Linked DNA regions of Cricetulus griseus. The main gene of each other region encodes a partner of the protein of the gene in region 2 in a complex. Links are inferred from orthologs where the notes say so. Each region holds a gene or a part of one and is shown on either strand. Other genes may lie near its edges.

What was found.
Region 1: the proteins of Spindoc (region 2) and Spin1 are in contact, whole or in part, in a crystal structure (PDB 7CNA), measured with the Homo sapiens proteins. The link is inferred for Cricetulus griseus from reciprocal best matches to the Homo sapiens genes SPINDOC and SPIN1. Residues at the interface, in NP_612480.1 of Homo sapiens: Phe256, Ala258, Pro259, Ala260, Val262, His264, Phe265, Thr266, Asp267, Ser269, Phe270, Pro271, Gly273, Phe274, Val275, Leu276, Gln277, Leu278, Phe279, Ser280; in NP_006708.2 of Homo sapiens: Met154, Thr169, Tyr170, Glu171, Pro174, Pro206, Val209, Val210, Leu213, Lys216, Gln217, Val218, Glu219, Tyr220, Thr229, Val232, Val242, Tyr243, Ile245, Phe247, Asp249, Asp250, Tyr254, Val255, Tyr256, Asp257, Leu258, Val259, Lys260, Thr261.

The regions. Positions count from the first base shown.
Region 1 is NC_048596.1:270,013,003-270,018,226, reverse strand, and holds the start of Spin1 (spindlin-1), read right to left. Parts: upstream 3,528-5,224; 5' UTR 3,367-3,527; intron 3,074-3,366; exon of another isoform or gene 1-3,073. UniProt on the Homo sapiens protein: Chromatin reader that specifically recognizes and binds histone H3 both trimethylated at 'Lys-4' and 'Lys-9' (H3K4me3K9me3) and is involved in piRNA-mediated retrotransposon silencing during spermatogenesis.
Region 2 is NC_048596.1:52,070,206-52,075,347, forward strand, and holds the start of Spindoc (spindlin interactor and repressor of chromatin-binding protein), read left to right. Parts: upstream 1-1,647; 5' UTR 1,648-1,885; coding exon 1,886-2,015; intron 2,016-5,142. UniProt on the Homo sapiens protein: Chromatin protein that stabilizes SPIN1 and enhances its association with histone H3 trimethylated at both 'Lys-4' and 'Lys-9' (H3K4me3K9me3).

The DNA of each region.
Region 1 (5,224 bases), about 220 Mb from region 2:
TCTTTGGGCATCTTTTTTCATTTTTCAAAATAAGATTGATATGTGCCTGCTCAGATCAAAGTGCTTGTCTTAGATGACACTCTTGGCAGGAGCAACATTGTCAACCGACCAACGAGAAGGCTAATTTCAGTAGAGACACAGCCAGCCTCGTGAGCATTGAGAGATGATTAGCTTTTTTGTTGGTGTTTAATGTGTGATAGTGGAGGCTGACAAGAACAAGAAGGGTGTGATGGGAAGGGGAGGCTGGAGTGGTAGTCTGGAACACTTCCTCTTCGTTGGTGAAATGCCTGGGTTTCTCTGCTGTATTAGGGTTCTGTAGATTAGCAAGGTACAGTGTGTGTGTGTGTGTGTGTGTGTGTGTGTGTGTGTGTGTGTGAGAGAGAGAGAGAGAGAGAGAGAGAGAGAGAGAGTGTTTTACTAGAATAGCTTGCAGACTGTGGTCCAGCTAGTCTAACAGTCCAGTAGTTGCTCAGTTCACAAGGCTGCATGTCTCAGCTGGTCTTCAGCGTACACTGGAATCTAATGTCAGTGAAGCACTGGACTTGCTAGTGGAAGCAAGAACAAGCAGGCAAAGACAGCAAGCTTCCTTCTTCCATGTCCTTTAAATAGGCTGCCAGCAGGTGTGCCACAGATTAAAGGTTTATCTTCCTCCCTCAAAAGATCCAGATTAAAGTTGTATCTTCTCACCTCAGAGATCTGAAATGATTTAATTAAGCAAGAACCCCTCATGGGTGTCCCCAGCAATTTTTTGGGGTTTCAGTTAGTTCCAGATGTAGTCAAGTTGGCAACCAAGAATAGACATCACATCTGCCTGGCAGTGTTGACACTTGTGACCTGGTGATTGGGAGGAATAGAGTTTTGGGTTGTTTTGCTTGAAGCAAGGTCTCACTGTCTAGCTGACCTAGAATGTGTTAGGTAAACCAGGCAGGCCTTTAACTTAAGATATTCCTGTGTAAGCCTCTCCAATGCCTGGCTGGATGACTGGGTTTTAAGGATGATTCCCCTGTGCTCTGTAGGGTGTTTGGCAGCATCCATGGCTTCTACCCACCTGCGGCCACTGGCAGATGCTCCCCCTCAATACTGGTCAACCAAATCCTCCAAGCCTAACCTTCTCTGTCTTCCCAAGCCCTGGTTTAAAAACTCACCTCTGCTGATTGTCTCCAGCAAACTGTCAAAAGTATATAAGCCACATCCTAGAGAGGTGAATGCCTAAATGGGATCTGGGGACAGGCTTTGCTTGTTTGCTTGTTTGTTTGTTTGTGTTTGTTTTTTTGAAACAAGGTCTTGTATAGCCCAGGCTGGCCTGAACTTTTTTTTATGTAGCCATCTTGGCCATCTTAAACCCCTTCCTCATCCACCTGCCTCCACCTCCCAAGAGCTGGAATGACAAGCATATACCACCACATCCAACTCAAATTGGACGTTTTGTGGGGAGTGGTGGCACACCCCTTTAATACCAGCACTCAGGAGGTGGAGGCAGCCTGAGTTTGATCTGGAACCTACATGTTGAAAAGAGAAAAACAGCTTCCTAGTGTTGTCATCTGACCACCACACCTGCACTGTGCCATTCACACGGACCCAAATAACATAAAATTTAAAATGTTATATATAAAATCGAATAAGCTCTGATTTTGCTTCCTACTGGCTCATCTTAAAATTCTTTTCTGCAGTGAAGTCAAGGATCCTGCTTTACATTCCTGAGGGGCCTCGTAAGGATAAGTGAACTCCTTGGGCGGCTGGCAGCAGTTCTAGTCTGTTTCACCAGCTGACAAGTATTCTCAGTTACAGGATGACTTACAGGAGTTCCTGCTAGCTCCACGACTGGCACCAGCAACTATAGATTCACAAGCCCCTCTCACTAGAGAATTGTGGCATCACAGTGGTCTCCCAAGAACAGAGACAGTTCTGTTGAGCCTGTATAGGTCACTAGGAACAGCATTCTTAGAGCCACAACCAATATGCTCTTGCTAAACTAGGCTTGGCCTATACCCACCTCTATACTAAGGATAAGGAAAGTTTGACTTAAAGCAGCCTCCAGAATTGTCAACTGCACCTCGCTTGACATGTGAACAAGGTGTAACCTAACGTGAGTATGCCCTGTTTGCAAGCGAATGTCAGCTACTCCCCAGCTGAGCTTCCACAGATTGCAGCTGACTGACTGAGCACAGCAAGCTCTATAAGGCAAACATGGATTCTGAATCACTAAGGTATTTTCTGTATGACATTGCCTTTTCTCTAGCCACAAGTATAACCTGGACATATGGTAGGGCCAGACATGTTTGGTTCAGAACAGTGCTTGGATCTAGAACCTCTTCTCATAGGCTGCTTGCTTGATTGCTTTTTCTGACAGTCTCACAGTCCAAGGCTGTGCCTCTAACTCCTTACGTAACCAACGCAGACCTTGAACTTCCATTGCAGATGCTTCTATCCTCAAAGATTTGGGGTCACAGGTGTACAGCACCACACCAAGTGTATTCACTACTGGGGATGCGTCCCAGGACATCGTGAATGCCAGGTAATCTCTGTCAACTGAGCCGCTTCCCCAAAGCAACTCAGGGTTTCTCTAACACTCATTATACAAGCACGGTGGGTTCTGTGTGGAAGTCATTGGGCCACCATAACCTGTCTAGGTGATCAAAAAGCTCAGAAGGCCTCAGTGGAAGAAAGTTGGGATCAGACATAATTGGGCGTAGCCAGCCCTAGCAGGATCCTCTCCAGCTACCTGTCACACTTGGTGTCATAGGAGGCTGGAGGAGATTAGGATGTGTGCCCAAGGCCTTGTGATAACTAAAGTTGTGTTTTAGGTTTAAATTACTGTGCTTAAGAGATCTATAAAACAGTGCCATTCTCTGGGAGTCCTGGATATGGACCTGGCCAGTATTCATTGTCCTGGACAATATGTAATAAAGCCTGCTTCAAATTTGGCTCAGGAATTGTGGTAGTGATCTTATTCGCATCTGGTGGGATTAACAGCCTCTATTTCCTCAGTCTTCCAGGTCTTCTCCTGTAAGCACCCTTGTGTCTGTCCTCTGCCATGTCTCCACTATCCAGATGAAAGCTCTGCTGAGAGAAGGTGTTAACCCTGGGTGTCCCCCAGCTGCCTTACTTAATTTTCTGTTGCTGTGATAAAATACTCCAACAAAAGCAGCTTAAGAAAGGAGGGTTTGTTTCAGTTCACAGTTTGAGGTAGAGTTCCATCAAGATGGGGAAGTCAGTGGAAGGAACCTGAAACTTTTAGTCCCAGTCAGAAATAAGAGTGCAATGATCCAACCAAGAAATGGTTCCACCCACAGAGAGCAGCTCTCCTCTCCTCGGTTAAGATAATGCCCCCAGGGACATGCTCAGAGTCCCATCCCCAAGACTCACCAACCAGCCCTGAGCTTGGATGTCCTTGAGAACAGGATACACGTGAGCCCAAAGTCCTTCAAGTAGGCTGTCGGGAAGTAGTGTCAGTCTAAGATGGCTGCCAGGGTGACGTCATACAACTTCTAACTTCATTATAACTCCATCTGCAGGCAGACACAAACCTCCAAAGCCACGATAGTCATCGATTGTCACGACTGCAAGGAAGGAACTATAAGGAGAGAAGAGAACAGGTTCTGCGTGCTAGGGAGATCTCCATCCGTTTCCGGAAAGATGTAGATAGTCCTCCCTTCACCAGCCTGTCATCCCAACGCTGGAAAGTTGATTTGGAAGAAAGTCTCTGCTACTCAGTTGATCTTGATCCACATTTCCAATCAAAGGGGGCAAAAACTGGGTAATTAAAGGGTTCATCGATGACTACTGAAGACCAGTTAGGACCTGTAGATGGATTCCTTAATTTTAAAAATTGATCCCCAGGCGTGTCCTATAGAGGCAAGATATAATAATAATAATGAGGGGCCATGGGAAGAAAATGGAGCCTCCTCTTGCCCCTGCTTGCTGAGAACCTAGAGAATCATGAAGGCCAAAATTCCATAAATTTCCCATCTTGTAAAACTTGTTTTAGGTCTGCTATATTCCTGGAAATTAATGGTCTCACCCATTTCCTTCATATCCTTTGTGCTAATTCTTTTAAAGCTAGCCAGTCATGAAAGACTGTGAGATCAGACCCCAGCCTATAGGAAAAAGACACAACCTCCACCTGCCTTAGAATAAAAACCAAGTGAGCTTACCGCCCCAGTGTTCTTGCTAGCATGGTTTGTGCTATGGTGGAGCTGGATTACAGGTGTGTTCTGCCACACCTGGTGTATGCGGTGCTGGAGTGAACCCAAGGTTTCATGCATGTAGTCCCCACCCTGAGCTATATCCCCAGCCCAACACAGTCATTTTCTGTCATAGCTTAATATCTGGCAACTAGAGATCCTGCAGGCACAAGATACAGTTGCCAACCCCTCCAGGCTTCGTTCCTGTGGTGAATAGGAATGTCCCCCATAGACTTATATGGTTGAATGCTTGGTCACTAGGAATGACACCCTTAGGAGGTGTGGCCTTGGTGTGTCACGGGGGTGGGCTTTGAGGTCTCAGAAGTTCAAGCCAGGCCTAGTGACTCAATTCATTTGCTGCTGCCTGCAGATCAAGATGTAGAACTCCCAGCTTCTCCAGCACCATGTCTGCCTGCTGCCACCATGTTTCCCGCCATGACAATAAAGGACTAAACCTCTGAACTATAAGCCAGCCCCAATTAAATGTTTCCCTATATAAGAGTCACCATTGTCACAGTGTCTCTTCACAGCAATAGAAACCCTAAGACACCTCCCAACATCACTGCTGAGTAAAGAGAGCCACAGCCCTTCCACATCCTGACCAGACATGTCAAGGGAACCACAAGAGATCTGGAGGCACCATCCCCAGGAGGGGATGCTTAGTGTGCATGTTCAAGAATGTCTATGCTGTGTTCTGTGAACATTTCACGGTGGTGGGGAATGTTTACTGAGTGGAGAACTCTAAGATGGACACAGTGATAGCACGGTCAGCCATTCCTGCCACCTCGCTGGCTTCCTGTGTCCCCTGGTATAGGGCCACCACCCTTCAGGTTACTTTCTGCACAAGTGCACCAATCAATGTGTCTAAGTGTTTTCCTCAGAGACGCTGGCTCGGGATTGGATCATCCTCCCCACTTCTCTCACCTGTATTGGACGGCACTGATCCCATCAGTTATGCCAGTGTTGGTTTGTTTGCTTTTCTATTTCCTGGGCCTTCACCCCATGATAAAGGCCAAAGGGCAGGGATCAAATCTATTTCA
Region 2 (5,142 bases):
ACCACAGGGAAAATTTTGTGGTGACCCAAGTGACAGGGGTGATAGAAGGCCTGGAAGCCCCACAGGTGACAGCGAAGTAAACCATGAATTCACAAAAGGGCTGGAACCACAGCATCATCAGCTGCTCCATTAGCAGAAGAAAGAACTGAGGAGGAAGGGAGGGAGGCAGAAGTAACTAGGCTTTCTTTTTTTCTTACTTTCCAGACCCCAATGCTATCTCCCAATACCCAGTCCAGGCCTGAAGCCTCCTGCCTTCAGTCAGCCCTCTGCAAAGCAGACCCCAGAACACCCAGGGGACCTGGTGCTTGGGCAAAAAGCAAAGAACAGCCTTTAGATAGGAAATAGCTTCATTTGGAATGTTGTCAAGTACTGGATACACATCAAAGTAACGAAACTTTCCTTAATTCCTTATATTGTAGCCATCAGTATGTGGTTGCAGCACACACCTTTATCTTATTACTATTTTTTTATCGGTGTTTCGATACAGGGTTTCTCTGTGTAACAGCCCTGGCTGTCCTAGAACTCACTCTGTAGACCAGGCTGGTCTCCAACTCAGAGATCGGCCTGTGTCTGCCTCCCAAATGCTGGGATTAATGGCATGCACCACCACCCAGCTAGGATGCTTTAATCCTAGCAGTTGGAAAACAGGGAAGAGGAAGAGTTCCAGGGCAACTAGGGTTACACAAGTTCCAGGTCAGACAGACTACAAAGCAAGTTACTTTCTCAACAAAATGAAGGCTGGTGATACAGTGGTGGAATGCTGGGCATGCCCAAGATACACACACACAAAACACTGTTAAGAACACAGTTTACTTCTTTTCTTCTGTTCCTTAGCCTTCTAGATCATCACGAATTATTATTACTGATTCTGGGCTGATTTAGTAGCATTTTAAATCAGAATTTTTAGTGCCAGACATTTTTGCTGTTCTTCAGCTGAAATCCAGTGTGTGGGGGGAGGTGGGGGGAGGGGGAAGGGATGAGGTGTTCCATAGAAGAGTAAGCGCCCATTGTAACAGCCTCCACCCAGGGCACGAATGCCAGGCAGCGGCGCCATGGCAACCGCATCCCGGTCTTGGAGGTTCTCAAGGGATTTGTTGTGTCCTGGGAAAAGGCCACATAGGCTGGACTCACGTTTTTAAAAAACGGAAATGATATCCACCGGGAAGAGGTTTACACAGGCCCACACGCCACACCAGTCCTCTTTATCTAGAATCTTTGTTTAGGAGGATCCAAAATGATTTTGTTTTTTTTTTTTGCGAGTGTATAAACTAGTAAAAAGAAACAAGGCGCAAAGCAAATTAGAAGAGATGCTTTCGTCTCGATTCTGAGCCTAGGTCCTTCCCACACCCGCGCCGCTCTTTTTCCGTCGGGATGCTAGTCGACGGAAAACCAAAAAGCAAAATGCCGAGCTTCCCCGCGGCGCACTCTCTCTCCCTGCCAGCGGCAGGTGGGGCTGCCCTGCTGGGTCTCCAAGGCTGCGGACGCCCCTCCCACGCCGACTCGGGGCTTCTCCGCTACATAAAGCAGCCAGAGACTCCGCGAAGCCCGGGGTTCTGGCCCAGACGCGTGCCTGGGGCGGGGCTGGAAGTAGGCTCTCGCGTGATTGGTCAGCCGGGCCAGAAGGCGGGGCTGCCGGACGGACGCTGACAATGAGCCTCCATAAAAGGGAGCGGCGGGGTCGGGGGCCCCGGATCGAGCCCTCCCCGCCTGGGGTCGTGACGCGCTGAAACCCGTGGCTGGCCGGCCGGGCGGGCGGGCGGGCGGCGGGTGAGCTAGACGGTCCGCGGGCCCTGCGTGGTCCGGGGCGGGAGGCGGCCGCCAGTGGCGGCGCGCCGAGGCCTGCGCGCCCGTCCTCCGCTATCGGGTCGCCCTTCTCCGCCTCGCCATGGCCCTGAGAACAGAGGGCGCCGCGGCGCTCGACTGCTTTGAGGTGACGCTCAAGTGTGAGGAAGGGGAGGACGACGAGGAGGCAGTGGTGGTTGCCGTGATCCCGCGGCCCGAGCCGATGCTCCGAGGTAAGGAGGAGGGGGATCTCACTTCCGCATGGCGGCCAGGGGCTCGGCCCCCTGTTCCAGATCTCCGGTCCCCAGGCACGGTCCGGGCCAGCGGCGGTAGCCCCGGCGGGTCCTTCCTGGTCGGGTCCACGGCGGGCGCGCTCCCGCGCTCCTCCCCCACCGGGGTTTGGAATCCCAGGCCTCTCGGAGCCCCCTCCCTCCGCCACCCCTCCCCCGCTCAGGGTCTGGAGACTTCCATCCACACCGAATGAGCGCTTCGGGTCTTCCGGTTCCCTGCGCCCCCTGGGCCCAGCGTAGAGGCCGGATTCCCAGGACCGTGGTTTGTGCGTTGCCGCCGTCTCCCGGTTTCGGCCTGACTGTGTCCTAGGCCGAGGGGCGACCAGGCCTCTAGGCCCCACTCTGATCGCCGTGGCGTTAACGGGGGTGAAAGCTATCGGGACTGGTAATCTCCCGGGAAGAGAATTTGAAGAGCCCTGCCAAGTAGAACCCGTCCTACCCCCATCCCCAGGCCTTCTCTCGAAGGAGCCACAGGTGTCAGTTCTAGAACCTGGCCGTTGAATGGAACTGCAAGCAGCACCCGGTTTGAGAAAAGCGGGACTTGTTTGGGGGGTGGTACTAAGCCATCTACATGGAGATTAGTCGCCAAAGGAGGTATTTGAGGGACAATCTGGAAATACTGGCTTTCCCCTCCCCTTCTTCCTTTCTTTGGTCCAAAGGAGAAAACAAAGAGCTACCTTTGTGGAAGACTATTAGTCATGAAAATGCAAATATTTCCTTATGGTGGACTACCTGTTTCCCTTAAACAAGACAGTACCCAAAAGAAATTAAGTACTAAGGCGTTTGCTGTGCTTCTTGAACTTCAGGGATGTCTGCGCTCCTTCTCCCTTTTGGAGATGGGAGGGTTAGAAATAAAGGCCACATTCCTCTCAGTGTTTGCATCACACAGGTTATTTTCTGCTTGTGCTGGTTTATGGAGTGCTTGCTCTGCTATTGTCAAATGCTCGAAGTTAATCCACTCAACAGCTCTGCCAGGGTGGCCTCATCACGGTTAAAAGGAAATAGACATCTACAGAGGTTCATTCATTCAACTATATTTATTGGGCAATTATATGCCAAGCATTGTTTCAGGTGCAGGGGGAAGTTTGGGGGAATGGTAACAGCGGTGAGCAGGGTAAATGAAACCCTGCTTTGAACGTATATCACAGTGACAGCCAACAGGTTAATTGTGTAGCACGAATAATAACAACCCAGAGATAGATATTATTGGGGAAAACTGAAAGATTAGAGAAGCAAATCACCAAAGCCACTAGAAAGTTCTTAACCTCTACCAAGGCTAAGACCAAAAGGGTCCATCCTGGCCTCAGGCGACTGAAGACTGAATACACCACACTCCTGCCCCTACTGCCTTCTATTCCTCTCTAGTGCTGGGATTAAAGGTGTGCACCACCACCATCCAGCTTCTGTGGCTGACTAGTGTGGCTAGCTTTGCAAGATGATCTTCAGGCAAGCTTTGTTAGATAATCAAAATATCACCACAAAATTGAACTACAGTGTGTTCGATGGCAATGACTTCTTTTTTATTTTGTGTGTCATAACATACAGGAAGAGGTCAGGACTCCTTTTTGTTTGTTTGTTATTTTGAGACAGGGTTTCTCTGTAGCTTTGGAGACTGTATTGGAACTTGCTCTGTAGATCAAGCTGGCCTTGAACTCACAGAGATCTGCCTGCCTCTGCCTTGAGTGCTGGGATCAAAGGTGTGCACCACCATGTGAGAATGAAATTGGGCTCATCAGGTTTGGCAGCATGAGCTTTTACCAACCCATCCATCTCCTTGGCCCAGCAATCAGTTGTTTAGGGAACACAAAGGTGAAATAGAGAAGTGGGGGTGTAGTAAGAATTTTGTTTGTATTGAGTGGTTAGGAAAAGTGTCTCTAGTAAGGATGGGGCAATGGCGGCACACACCTTTAATCCCAGCACTATACAAAGAAACTGTCTTGGAAAACAAAATAACAAAAGAATTGATGGAAGAGGTCTTAGGAGAGCAAGTACAAAGATTCTAGAGGCTGGCACAAGGTTCTAGAAAGATCTGAGGCATGAGAAAGTAGATGAATTCAAAGCTTTGTTCTTTGGGCTCAGCATGGTGGCACACACCTTTAATTCTGTCACTAATTTGGCAGAGGTAGGAAGACTTCTGAGTTTCAGGTCATCCTAGTCTATCTAGTGAGTTGCAGGCCATCTGGAGCTATAGTTAGTGTTTTAAAGAAGAAAGAAAAGGGATTTTTTTGTTTTGTTTTTGTCTTAGTTGCTTTTCTTTTGTGACAAACATCATGACCAAGGCAACCTGTTTGTGGGACTTAGCATATACCTTTAATCCCAGAGCTTGGAAGGCAGAAGACAAGTGTTGCTGTGCCTTCCCAACCCCAAATGAACACACAGAGGCTTGCTATATTATTAAACTGTTGGCCAGTGCTTAGGGCTTCTATTGGCTATCTCTGTCTTAATTTTTTGTTGTTGTTTGTTTGTTTGAGACAGGGTTTCTCTGCATTGCTTTGGAGGTTGTCCTGGAACTCTGTAGACCAGGCTGGCCTCGAACTCATAGAGATCTGCCTGCCTCTGCCTCCCGAGTGTTGAGATTAAAGGCTTATGCCACCAATGCCTGGCCTGTCTTAATTATTAATCCATTTCTATAAATTGAAGTATTTCCATGTGGTCTTGGTTTACCGAAGAATGCCCAGACCTTTTTCTCCTTTGGCCACTACATGTCATCTGTTTTTGGCAAGCTCCCTCTGCCTACCTCTCCCAGAATTCTCCTAGTCTGGTAGCCCCACCTATCCTTCCTGCCTGGCCACTAGCCAAACAGTGTTTTACTCATTAACCAATAAGAGAAACATATATACAGAAGGATATCCCCCATCAGACAAGCTGGTAGATCTCAGAATCCAAGGCTAGCCTGGTCTATAGAGGATAGCGAGGGTTACACACACAGGAAAGCTTTCTCAGGGGGAAAAAATGAATTGGGAGCTTAGAGTCCATGACCATCATGGCCAAGAGCACAGCTGCAGGCAAGCAGGCATGGTGCTGGGGTAGTAACTGAGAGCTGACTCAGTGATCCACAAGCACTAGGCAG